Arabidopsis thaliana: one gene and its partners. The protein of the gene in region 3 interacts with the protein of the main gene of each other region in a pairwise test. Each region holds a gene or a part of one and is shown on either strand. Other genes may lie near its edges.

What was found. The genes of interacting proteins can lie anywhere in the genome.
Region 1: the proteins of EMB506 (region 3) and AT3G48550 interact in a two-hybrid assay, tested with the Arabidopsis thaliana proteins (one large-scale study listed by BioGRID).
Region 2: the proteins of EMB506 (region 3) and AT3G07500 interact in a two-hybrid assay, tested with the Arabidopsis thaliana proteins (one large-scale study listed by BioGRID).

The regions. Positions count from the first base shown.
Region 1 is NC_003074.8:17,991,752-17,995,710, reverse strand, and holds AT3G48550 (SHOOT GRAVITROPISM-like protein), read right to left. Parts: upstream 1,893-3,959; 5' UTR 1,664-1,892; coding exon 1,317-1,663; intron 1,246-1,316; coding exon 1,116-1,245; 3' UTR 932-1,115; downstream 1-931. Other genes in the region: AT3G48540 (Cytidine/deoxycytidylate deaminase family protein), read left to right, coding at 3,696-3,886.
Region 2 is NC_003074.8:2,390,318-2,394,709, forward strand, and holds AT3G07500 (Far-red impaired responsive (FAR1) family protein), read left to right. Parts: upstream 1-1,898; 5' UTR 1,899-2,069; coding exon 2,070-2,070; intron 2,071-2,615; coding exon 2,616-3,067; intron 3,068-3,191; coding exon 3,192-3,392; 3' UTR 3,393-3,461; downstream 3,462-4,392. Other genes in the region: AGD11 (ARF-GAP domain 11), read left to right, coding at 872-1,333; AT3G07510 (maternal effect embryo arrest protein), read right to left, coding at 3,578-4,169, 4,251-4,258.
Region 3 is NC_003076.8:16,061,508-16,066,603, forward strand, and holds EMB506 (Ankyrin repeat family protein), read right to left. Parts: upstream 3,183-5,096; 5' UTR 2,795-3,182; coding exon 2,425-2,794; intron 2,274-2,424; coding exon 2,194-2,273; intron 2,067-2,193; coding exon 1,968-2,066; intron 1,898-1,967; coding exon 1,799-1,897; intron 1,716-1,798; coding exon 1,617-1,715; intron 1,530-1,616; coding exon 1,431-1,529; coding exon of another isoform or gene 1,395-1,430; intron 1,321-1,394; coding exon 1,219-1,320; 3' UTR 972-1,218; downstream 1-971. Other genes in the region: AT5G40155 (Defensin-like (DEFL) family protein), read left to right, coding at 449-524, 669-838; RLP54 (receptor like protein 54), read right to left, coding at 3,672-5,096. UniProt on the Arabidopsis thaliana protein: Involved in the initial differentiation of the proplastid during the embryo development. Also required for correct cotyledon, true leaf and cauline leaf margin development.

The sequences.
Region 1 (3,959 bases), on a different chromosome or scaffold from region 3:
ATAGAAATGACAAAGTGGATTACAATGTGCTTTTGATATATATTCTCAAAATGTTTACATATATTCTATATATTGTCATAATCGTTAATATAGTTCATATGTATGTATCATTTTATAGAGAATATGACGACCAACCGAATAGATCAGCCGAGTTGATTTACGTATTTAGGGTATGATCGTAAACTCGGCATTTTTTAGGATTTAAATTTGAACATATTATCTGTAGTACACGATTGATTTAAACCATAGTCTACGAAGTACATAATTAAAATTAATCCTCTCTCTTATCAAAAATATTCATACATTTATCAAGTTTCTGTAAGTAAATGTACGTATATGCACAAACACAAAATAATAGTACACACATATATACTATTTAAAGCGACCTAAGAGATTAAAGTAGATGAAATAAGCATGTTAATGCAATAATTATACCCATCATCTCCATGCATATGTCTTTACGTGTGTTTGATTATTTGTTTTCAGAATAATCATCAATTTTCATTGAACGAACGTTTTCAAAGATGATTACAACAAATCAAATGAATCACATATGGGTCAGCCAATTATATTCAAATCATGCAATCCGTCCATTCTCTTTTTTATTTTCCACGTTCCTCGATTGTGAATGTCACTCCATCTCTTGTTACTTTAACATCAAGCATTTAACTAACTAATCACTGTAATTACTAATTAGGTTTTGTTCTGTTGGTTAATAAATGTCATAGTTAGATTTTAATACTCCATATAGTATATAATAGCTGATCGTTGAGGAATTGACATAGCTAATGTTGACAACGTAACTAATGAATTTTATCCCTAATTCCCAAGTAATTCACTAAATGGTATTCATGATTTTTTTTTTTTTTTTTTTTGGTTGGCAAAGAAGAGGAAGTAAAGTAGCTGGAAACATAAATCATCTCTTATCTGAGCATATTGTTTTCCTTCGATTTCAAGAAAATAAAAAGGAAGGACTATATAATATTACCAAACTCGAAAATGAAAACAAATTAAATTTAACTACAAAATAAAATTTAAATTAAACCAACATTCTCTTTCTCTTCAAATATCCATTTATAATAACAATAATTAAGAGAAACAAATAAATACTTATGTTATGGCCTAAACCTTTGTCTGCAAGAGTGGCAAGTGATCTCCAAGCAAGCCGTATCGATCTTCGTCATTGATCTCTCCTTCAATCTCTCAGCTCTCTCCACTTCTTCCCTTGCCTTCTGCCACATCACCCTGGTTACAATTCAAAACCGTTAACCAAACCAAAACCAGAATTATTACTTGATCGAGCTAGCTTTAACTACCTTGCACGAGCAAACTCAGACTGAGCCATCTCCATCTCACGGCGAGTCAACTCTCTAACCCTCTCGGCGTAAGCCTTCTCTATAGCCGCAAGCCTTATCTGCTCCGCGGCTTGCCACTTCAACGCCTCCACACCACCGTTTGGAAGCTCCTCCGCTGTTGAGATCGAGCTGAGGCTGATGGAGAGTTTGAGGTCAAGATCGTGGTGGATCATGGAGGAGGAACGGTGGTGATTGTTGTGATGGTCGGTTGTTATAACTGTTGGTCGGTGTTTCCTTACCGGAGATTCGGTAGACGGTGGAGAAGGTAAAAGCTGAAGCTCTTTGTGATGATCTTGTTGTTCAGCCATTTTTGTATTCTTGTTTGTTTTTTTTGGCTAAAAGGCTGCACTTCTCAATAAGTGTGGGGATGGCAATTACCAATCACTTTATATGTAAGCTGCTTCGTGTCTGTGCACATATACTATCTACTTGAAATTACACTTATAACCCCTTATTCGAATATGCATATCTTTTTGGGTTATTTGATCATTGGGTTTTTATATAATCCTCAAAGTTAACAAACGACCACCGTACCGCCATTATGTGAATTTGTTGTCAAGTGTGGTTCCATGATAAGACGAAATGATGTGATTGTACAACAATCAACTAAAGTTAAAAATAGGTTAGATATATAAGATTTTTTAAGTTTTGTCGAGTTACAAAATAAATAGTCACCAATAACCAAATTTTTAGAATGTTTTATAATGATGAACATGTTATTTGCGTTTATGTCGAAATAATATAAACATGTAAACGCAAACGTGATTAATGTTGTTTTTTACGTTAAAGCTACTATATATTATGACATAACTTGCAATTGCAAAATTTCATTGTTTTTTTTTTTTCCAAAACATAAGAGGAGCATACTTGTAAAGTGAAAATAATGGAGGGTAGGTTAGTAAAACGAAGATAGAAATAGGAAGAAAAAAAATAGTTAAGGTGTAGAGAAAATCTCCGTTGAAGAAAAGACAGAGAAGATGGGATATAAACGGATCACGTTATTGAAGCATGAGAGGCTTTTTAAAGAAACCCTTTTCACTTTTTCATCATCTATCTCATTTTATATGTTTTTGTAACTAATAACTTTGCGATTGTATATTTGTTAATTAACGTATCCTTTTAAAAAAATGAAAATGTGGATGTGGGTTGTGTAATAATTGGTGATGCACGTGGCTTAATGGATTCAAAAGCTAGCAACTAGCTCACTTACTATGTGCTTAGTCCGTATATATTAGTAATTTAATCAAATTCTTCTCATATAACAGTTTATATTTTATTTATATATGTGATTTAAATAGTTGAAAGATTATAACAGATTTATAGGATTGAGAATTCGGAAACTAGGGTTTGAGTCTTTCCGCTGCAATCTCAATTACATTAATTAGTATAGACGCTCTAAATGACAAAAAAAAACAAAATTCCACAGGTTTAATAGCTAATCTGAATTGTGTTGTGATCTACGATTGCCTGGTCGTTATGTTTTAAATACATTTTGTTATTTATAGATAAAAATGTACGTAATGCTTTCAATGTTTTTTTTTTAAAGTTATTAACTTGTTTCATGTGTTTCATAGTTTCATGTACGTTTCCAATTATTTGTTATTTTTCAAACTTTGTTCGTTTCCACTTTATGTTTTCTTAATCTATCCAGTTCATATTACATTACATTAGACAAAAGAAAACTAAATAGCGAAATAAAACTAAAACTTATATAGGTATACACAACCGTGCCTACCAATAAAAAAGTCAGAGACGGTATCTTAAAAGCGCAAAATAAGAATATAGAACTATAGTTATAAAAAAAAATTTTGAAAGGTAATGTCAATTTTTTCACAAGATCATTAACCAAAATTTCAAAATCAATCTTTTATAACCTTTTTGTGAATTGAAAAGATTGTCAAAACATCAACGATACAAAAAAGTTTAAATCCATAGTTAATAGAAATATAGAAGAGATGGTTGAGATATCAAATCTGGACCGGTATAGTTTTTTTTATCCAAAAAATATATTGGTAGCACTCAATACTAAAAAAAATAAAAAAAAATAACAAATAATAAAATAAATGATTCAATAACACATAATTTTTGAAAAAAATGAAATTAACCAAAATCTGTTAATTGCCATAATTTTCTGCTGAGAAGAGAAAGCACAATCAGTAAACCAATCTAGTTATTAACCGAAACCTAAACCAACAATCATATGAACCGAATGATAGACCTGCCTTAACCGGAATGGCGGGGATTTTCACTCTCTTATAGTTTCCCGCTACATTTAATAGTGAAGAGAGAAGAGCAAAGATTTTTCTGGATAAATCTGTTTTATCGATTTTGAAGCTCCCCATGAACTCTCGAGATCTTACACTCGTCTCTACATCTGCAATCTTCGGTGCTTTGATTTCAGCTCTAGCATTTCGCTTCTTCTCATCAAACCCTAAAAACCCCAAATCCCGAAAATTCACTTCCACCGAAATCTCTGCAATTTCCAGAAAATTCCCTGCTCTAGATCCTTTCAGTCCTTTGAAACGAAATGGGTTTGTCATAATTCCATTCAATATATCTAATTTCGTTATTCCATAGCTAAAGTTTCCAACTTTCAGAAAATCC
Region 2 (4,392 bases), on a different chromosome or scaffold from region 3:
TTATTTTCCTACCAGTAGTTTCTAAACACAGCTTAGGCATCTTTAAATGTTGCGAATAGTTTTCTAATTCTTACTCGTTTTTCAAAATCCGAAACCAAAGCAAACTGAAAAATGGATGCTCATCTCTATCTACCTGAAAACGTCGATATCAAAATCAATTTCTGCTTGTGGTGCACTTAACACAATAATCATTACTCTCAGTCTTATAAGGATGTGCAATACAACATAATTTAAACCTGTTAACAGACTATCAATCTGTTAAGAAGTGATTAAGACCTTGACTATTTTAAAGGCTATCTCTTTTATTTTAATTTTATTATTGTTCAAGTTGTCTCTTCTATTTTCGAAACATCGCCATGTTCAAATCGACAAAAAAAGAAGTGTATAGAACAAATCCACTTAGAATAAGTTACATCTTATGTAGATAAAATAAATAAATAAGTTTTGTAGAAAATTAACCAAACATATACAAACAGACGATAAGCATTTGAATTGAATTATATTTGTCTATACCATAAATTGAGTCTCAAAAGATTTAACCTGAAATAACTATCCTAACGGAAAACTGTTTTGAAGATGACAAAATACGAGATAATGTGTAGATTCCGTGTGTATCTCTATTGATAGACTTTAGTTTTTGTGTATTCTTGAAGGACATAAACCTATTTTAAGACCAGTTCAACAGAAAACTGGTGCAGACCACGATCACAGTTGTAATGAGTTTTCTAAAATGGTAACCACTCCTTTTCCTTTAAGAAGCAGTCCTTCTTGTCTCCTGCCCTAATTCTCTTCTTCTCTATAAACCCATATTCTAGTTTTGTTCTCATTCATTCTCTGTTCAAAGCTCATAAATAATAAACTCCAATTAAGAATGGATCAAGCGGAGCTTGCCAGGATCTTCCAAATGTTCGACAGGAACGGTGATGGCAAAATCACGAAGCAAGAGCTGAATGATTCATTGGAGAATCTAGGAATCTACATTCCAGACAAAGACTTGGTGCAGATGATCGAGAAGATTGATCTCAACGGTGATGGGTACGTGGACATCGAAGAGTTTGGAGGGTTGTACCAGACGATAATGGAGGAAAGAGACGAGGAGGAAGACATGAGAGAGGCTTTCAACGTGTTTGATCAGAACCGGGACGGGTTCATCACGGTGGAAGAGCTAAGGTCTGTGTTAGCTTCCTTGGGGCTCAAACAAGGAAGAACCCTAGAGGATTGCAAGAGGATGATAAGCAAAGTTGACGTTGATGGAGATGGCATGGTGAATTTCAAAGAGTTTAAACAAATGATGAAAGGTGGTGGATTTGCCGCCTTAGGATCAAACTTGTAAAAAAAAAACTCATTTTTCGGGTTCGGGTTTGAGACCCAAAATCATTGGGTATTTTTTTCTTCGGAATGATTATTAGGGCAAAACCTTGAAAGCGATGATGAATGGATTTGCAAAAGAAAAAAGCTCAACAAACTTTGTGAGCTTTGTTTTGAATGCTCCTACAAAAATGTTGTTGATGAATTTGCTTTTCGGATTTTGAAACATAACCATGCGAATCTACGGGAACACTTGATGATTCTTTTATTATTTATATATTTGGGTGTTGCACTTAAAAAGTTATCACTATCTAGCTTATAATCATAAAATGATGAAAATATATTTGTATTTGTAAATTACAAAGATTAAACACAAACAAACAATCGAATTTCTACCCAAAAAAACAAACAAACAATCGAATTTATGTCTTTAAAGTGAAGATTTAGGTCAAAGTAATGGAAAAAAGTGTCTCATGGAATATGTTAGTCAGGCGGTCAAAGTAAAAAGTAAAAAGAGAAAAAACTATAAACTACATGATGTTTAACTCTTCAAGTGACGTCAAGACATAAACTACGTGCCGTTTCGCACTATTCGTAATCCAACGGGCGAGACTGGAATGAATTTATGACCAGATCTTGGTTTTTTCTTGTCGTCTTCTTCACCGCTTACCAGTTACTAACTTGAGCTTCAGAGATCATCATCATCATCACTTCCTCTCTCTGAAGAAAACACAATTTGGAGTTTTCTAATCTTCATTCCAAGTGAGTACTTCAATCGAATCCCTTTTCTACTATTCAATAATTCAATCTATTATTCAAATTCTCGTCTATCTGTTTCGATGATTTTGAGGTTTTCGCTCCCTTTTGTTATCAAATTATGGAATCTGATTCCCAATTTCGCGTTTGTATGTACTCGATTTTCTCTTTTTTCTTGCATGATTACACTTTGGTGAAGTTCAGAATTCGAGTAATATCACTTGAAATTGCTACTCTCTGCCTATTCATTAGGGTTTATGAATACATAGTTTAGGGTTTATGTTTCCATTAGTCACTTCTTGAGGACCTGCTTATCTTCGAGCCATTGTGTATTTGATAAACTTTGGAAGAAGTGTCCACTATATCTAGCGTAGGACTGAATGTAGTAGATTAGAACTGCTAAGAGTTGGTTAGAGAAAGGGGTGGGTAATTTATAAGGATTTTCTAGGGTTTGGTTAGGTATTCGGTAGAGAGTTTCTGGTTTGGTGAACAAGACATAGCTTTGCATCATTTGTTTTGAGTTGAGATGTTTGTGTGTTGTGTTGTGGCAGTGGAAGGGAACTCTTTACCCGAAGAAGATGTAGAGATGATGGAGAATTCAGATGTAATGAAGACAGTCACAGATGAAGCTTCTCCAATGGTGGAGCCGTTCATTGGTATGGAGTTTGAATCAGAAGAGGCTGCAAAGTCTTTCTATGACAATTACGCTACATGCATGGGTTTCGTTATGCGAGTGGATGCTTTCAGGAGGTCAATGCGAGATGGGACTGTGGTGTGGCGCAGACTCGTGTGTAATAAAGAAGGATTTCGTAGGTCGAGACCTCGGAGAAGCGAGAGTAGAAAGCCTCGGGCTATAACAAGAGAAGGGTGTAAAGCTCTGATTGTTGTGAAAAGAGAGAAATCCGGAACATGGCTTGTTACTAAATTTGAGAAAGAGCATAATCATCCTCTCTTGCCTCTCTCCCCTAATGTTCGCCGGAATTTTCAGCTCCCTCAAACACCGGTACGTCTACGCACTTTTCCTTGGGGTAAAAGTAAAACAGTGATTATTGGCATTGATCTAAGAGTTACCAAGAACATAAAGCTCAAAAAATGATATCGAAATCTTGTACAAATGAACTTTTCAGGACGAGAAAGACGCAAAGATTAGGGAGCTGAGTGCAGAGCTGAGCCGAGAGAGAAGGCGTTGTACTGCTTTGCAACAGCAGCTTGATATGGTCCTTAAGGAGATGGAAGAACATTCCAACCATCTCACCATTAACATCAATAGTGTTATCCAAAGTGTTAGAGACATTGAGTCCAATACTTTCACCAAACAACAAACATAATGCTTCATTTCTGTTCATAAAAGCTTAACATCAAATTCTCATAATCCAATGTTCTGTATCTTGTGATTGATTCTTCATTCTCCGAAACAAAAAAACAAAAAACTAGATTGGAAGGCATTGATGATGAAATTACACATTGGCTAATCAAAACAAAGCCATGGACATTATCCAATTTTGACATAGCATCAATGCCAGAAAGCGTAAATGGCGGTAGAGATGTAAATCAGCAGAGCAGAGGAAACCAGAGTGACGAGCGTTGCAACAGCTTGAGCCGCCGATTTGCTGCCGCAAGAGAGCAAACCAAGACGGATCTGAATCACATTAACCATAGAGAGCATCAAGAAGAGACAGCCCATTACAGATCCGACAGCAGAAGCCATCATTCCCCATCTCAAAACCTTGATATTGATGTGAGCTCTGAAAATCTCGTTGACGTCTTTGCTATTAAGAAGGTTTAAGGCAAGCTTAAGACCCTGAGCTACAAGAGAGGAGAAGAGGAAGAAGCTGAAGGAGACGACTTCGAAGACCAGTAGCTTCTTGGCGACGTCAGCACTTGCGTCGCAGCTGGATCGTTGTTCGAGGCTGTGTTGTCCTGGAGTCGCTAAGGAAAGACCAACGAAGACGGCGATGGTGAAGAGAGAGTTCACGTTCACGAGTCCGTCGAGAGCGCTTACGTGGACACTTGTGGTGGCGAGGGAGGATGTTGAAGACGCCTCTGGTGACGTCATTCTCACGCCGTTCTCAGCGCCGGTCATGTAGTTAACCTTCGGCTCAGATCTGCTCGGAAAGGGAAAAAAAGAAACGCAATGGTTAAAAAAAAGATAGATTGATTTTAGGGAAGAGAGAGGGTTTGCTTACTCATACATGAGGGAATCTATTTAAGCAATGAGTTTAGCTTTCCGTCGGGGCTTAGCTTGAAGAAAGAGATGGATTGTCTTAAAGAGAGAGCTTGTCGGAAACACTCTCTCTCTCCCTATCTTTGTACAAACCAGCTTCTTTG
Region 3 (5,096 bases):
ATCCAAGAATTGTTCTTTTTTCGATGCTTATGGATTTTATACAACAAATTTAAATTTTTTAGTGTTTCAGAAAACCTTGGCCCAAAAAAAAAATAAATAATAAAGTGTTTCAGAAAACCAAACCATGTTCTTCTACTTTAATCACTTTTATCTACTTAGATTACAATCAAACAAGTTTCAGTTGATGATATATCTCACAACAAGCGTGTTTAATTAGTTGTTTTTAATTTTTAGACGAAATCTCCCTTAAAATAATTGTTTCTAGATTCAGCCATTTTCAGTAAAACCAGTTTTTAAAAGATATAGCTGTGATAACTATTTTTAGTTAATGATATATCTCAAAAGTCACAATATATATGGAAAAGTGAAACAAAAAAAAAACCTATAAAACCATAATCTCTCAGTTGATTAAAAACACCATTATCTCTCAAGTCTTAATACGAAAACAATGGAATCCAAGAGATCATCATCTTCTCCTCTACTAATTTTGATTACCACCATCATGATCATATTCATCATTTCTGGTTAGTCCTCGTCGTTTTTCAATAACAAATTGATAATCATGTTTATATTTGACATAGTTTTTTTTTTAATCCGAATCTGTTTTAGATTGGCCAAGACTACTCACATGCATATATTTCTTCAAACTAACGCTTCTGTCTTTGCAGGACCTAAATCTGTCGATGCAGATTGCAAACACCCGGTTGGACCGTACACGGACTCATGCTTTACGGATTGCGTATCTGGAAAATATGGATATAATTATGAATCCGCTTTTTGTAGCCGTGACGAGACCGGAACTTGTAAAATATGTTGCTGCGAACTTATCAACGAATAGGTGCATATGCATTTGCATGTTTCAATGTATGGTTGGTAACAAAAAAAAAAAGATGTGGAGAAAGAGAACAAATTATATACTTGTCTTCCCTATTTTAAAGGCAATGCATAACCCTTAAAATTATTATTTACTTGCACAATCTTGCAATGCTTGTAATTTAATATATATGACATAACAATGTGTATCTTTGTTATGCACATTATGATACACACACCCGAATAACAAGTTCATCCACGAATATATAAAAGCAGTAATTACAAACTCAATCGGGTTTCTTCTACCTTAACCACTTATACCGGTGTAGATTACAATCAAACCAAGCAATGGCAAATGCAGTTTAGTAATCTCAACCTGATCATTCAAAATCTCACCAGCTCTTTCTATATATCCCCGGTGGGCATAATCTTCAATAGCTTGACCAGATCATATGACTTGAAATCTCTTCCAAAGCACAGAGCCAAGTCCAAAGCTAATTTCCCATCCTGAAAAGACAGCAAGAAACCAAAACCAAATTGATCTGTTATCGAACAAAAACAAACTAACTATTCATATACTCTCAGTTTTTCTCTACACATATTTTCGCCATTAACACCTTTGTTCGTCTTGTTTTATCAGCACCATTGGTCAACAATATCTTTGTAATGTCTCGATTTCGGCTTTGTACAGCTATATGTAACGGAGTCCATCCTTCCTGTAAAACAAAGAAAGTTTCATCGAATCAAAATCAGAAATTTTTTAATGGCTTGAGATAAGCTTTTAGTTGCTACTAAGTACTAACATTATCTGCAACATTGACGTCTACATTGTACTTGAATAGTAGTTTTACAGTCTGCAAGGCTCCAACTTGAACTGCATAATGAATCGGAGCTGCACCGTCCTGTATCTTTGAACAATCTGGTTAATAAAGTATGAACCTTTTCCAAATGGGTTCTACGTAAATGGAACCAGATAAGTTCTCACCCGATCTTGAAGATGCGGATTAGCTCCTTTCCTCAAAAGATGACTAATCACCGCTTCTTTTTTACCAATGATTGCTTTGTGAAGAGCGGTTTGGTTGTCCTGTTTTTGTAGATTCAGTCAGTGACATGATAAACAATAGAAACCAGATTTGGTATGTTTAAAAGCAAACCTTGTCAACATCATCAATGTCTAGTCCGTTTTCAATAAGATTATCCATTAACTGAATCTGCATTGACAGAGCAAGTGTCTGAAGTGGCTTCCAACTCTTCTGCAGATTCCATATTTACACAATAAGTATACAAACCAAGTGAATCAAAACCACTACACTCGTAGCAATATGATCACAGATTGATATGCATATAAGAGATACTGAAGAAAATCACATGAAAACTTACTGTTGAGATCATCTTGAGATTTGGTTTCTCATTTTGCTGAAGAATTACTCTTTCTTCAGGTTCAAGAAGTTGTTCAACCTCTGCAAATACTCAAGCCCATGTAAAGCAATGATACACATTCACACACAAAAGTACTAACTTTGAAACTATTCCAGTTCTTCATACTAAAAGAGTGATCTTTTACACACAATTCGGATAAAAATAGTAAAGTGAGAGACTTTAAAGAAGAACCTTTTGCAAGCTCTTCCTCGTAGTTGTCTGTAGTAGTAAGCTTTTGTACTCTCGAGTCATCTTCCCAATCACTCTCGTTATCTAAATCATTCCCAATACCATCTTCTTCTTCTCCTTCATATTCGTTTTCACTGTCGCTACCATCATCTGGATCTTCCCAGAATTCATGTTTGGATTGCACGGAAGGTGTTCGACGATTTGTCTCAGTGAAACTGCGAGTTCTGGCCGTGGATTGTCTCTTGACGGAGCTTCCTCGGACACTTGTGGAGAGACAGTACACGATTTTCGATTTGCAATTGACAGAATCAGAGATGGGTAATCGTGGAAGTAGACAAGTTTGTGGAGGGATGGATAAAACCGAAGAGACCATTGCAATTTAAAAGCTGTTCTGGCTTTTGCTTCAATTGGGCATATCTTTGGAAGTGTCATTCTGTTTCATATTAGGATGTTTATTTTGTTTCACAATATAAAATGTTATAAACAAAAAATAAAATAAAATCATTAAAACTATTTTAAATTTATATACTTTGTAACTACAGTAAATATTTTTATTGGCCAAACTCTATTTAACTAAATATTAAAATTATGTTTTTTTAATGTATATAAAAAAATTAGTTTTTTAAACTTTGTATTTTTAGCAAATACATCATAGATTTTCTTGTTTAGTATTAAATTATAATCCCAAAAATTATTTTTACTGGGATTTTATTTGTTTTAAACCTGTGTCATAGGAATTATTATATTATAATATTAAATAAACACTAAATAAACAGAAAATATATTTTTCTTTTACATTTTTTATAGTTAATTAAAAAGAATAAAAGATACACAAATCTCAGCAAATATAGTGGGTTTTAAGAAATAGCTTGCTAAATGAAATAATATCACTCTTGTTGGAACTTAATAATCTATAATATTAATAATTAACGAATCTAAAAAAAACTATAAAATATAATATATATATATTTTTTTATATGTGCTCAAGCTAATAATATAACAAGTACTTTACAAAATAACAGAGTACATTAGTCTTGAAATAGAAAGAGTAGTTCAAAGTGTGTATACTAAACAAGCAAGCATTTGAGCAACATTTAAAGTTTACAAAGTCTGTCTAATACGAAACAGATTAACCAGAAAATCAAAGCTGTGTTGTTAGTTTATCGTCAAAGCCCAAAAAGCAAAGAGTAGTAAACTGATTATTTTACATATGATTCAACACCAAAATGAAGAAGAAGAAACAATACATCTCAAAGTCGAAACAACTTATAGAACAAGACCGGTTTGTATCGAGCAAAGGCTTGTCCGATCGCCAGTCCAAACAACACTCCGGGTCCATAGCCTATCGCAGCTGCTTTCCAGTTCAACGCATGTTCTTGCTTTGGTAGTTCTTGCTCTTGTGTATGTGGTGTTGATGGTACTCCATTTCCCCTTAAACAACTCTCTTGAAGAGGAAGACCACAAAGATTGATATTCCCTTCAAAGGAGGATTTAGGTTGCCCTCCAACCTGTGTACTCTGTGGTATTTGGCCGGTGAGTCTGTTATGTGACATGTTAACATATCCCAAAAACGTCAGCTCTCTTAGCTCTTGAGGTATATTTCCAGAGATTCGGTTTTGAGATAGATCCAATGACTCGAGTTGTTTAAGTTTGGCCAACGACGATGGAATACGACCAGTGAAAGAGTTGTTAGATAAGTCCAGAACAATCAACGATTTCAAATCACCTATTGATTCTGGAATCTGTCCTTCAAAACTATTTCCTGAGAAATCTATCGACGTGTATGTATCTGGAATCTTTCCCAACTCTATGCTTCGTCCTTTTATTCTCAAATGAATGGAAGGATAAGACCAAAGCGGGGTCTCATATTTAGAGTGTTCATCTCCTGTGTACTCTGGCCAACGATATCCTTGTGGGGTATTAACCAAAGGTGCACTCCAATTCGCAAAGTAGTTTTGCGGTAGGCTCCCGTTGAAGCTGTTACGGGAAATATCAATTATCCGCAGTGCCGTAAATGAAAGAGAGACCTCAGGAGAAGAAATGGGACCGTGGAATCTGTTTGATCTCAGAACAATGATTTCAAGACGCGTCAAAGCCTTCAGCCAGAAAGGGAAAGTGTCGTTGATGTGGTTTCCTTCCACATTTAGAAACTTTAGGGTTGTGCAGTTTACTAGAGACCTTGGAAGCTTCCCACTTATTTGGTTGTGGCCAACGTCAAGTAGTACTAAGCGGTCTTCTATGTCCGGAAGTCTCCCAGTGAGGCTGTTGTTACTGAGTTTCAACGCTTCTAGTCCGAGTGACACATTTGTCAAGCATCTCGGAATTGTCCCACTGAAGTTGTTGTTTGATAGATCAAGGAGACTGAGTCGATATCTTTTGCAGAATATAAGTGGTATGCCTCCAGTGAAATAGTTATTTGATGCAGCCATGATGTTGACATAAGGTGGAATAATAGGAAAAGATCCTTTGAAGGCATTTGAACTCAAATCTAACTCCGAAATCGACGAATTGAGGATTATTTTTGGCGTACCTTCCAAGGAATCAAAGGAGTTGCGTGAGAGATTTACATGGAGCATAGAAGGCAGAGTCCATAACAACTCAGGCACTTTTCCTTTAATTCTATTATTGGAAATGTCTAACCACCATAATCTTTGTAAGTCCTTAATAAACATCGG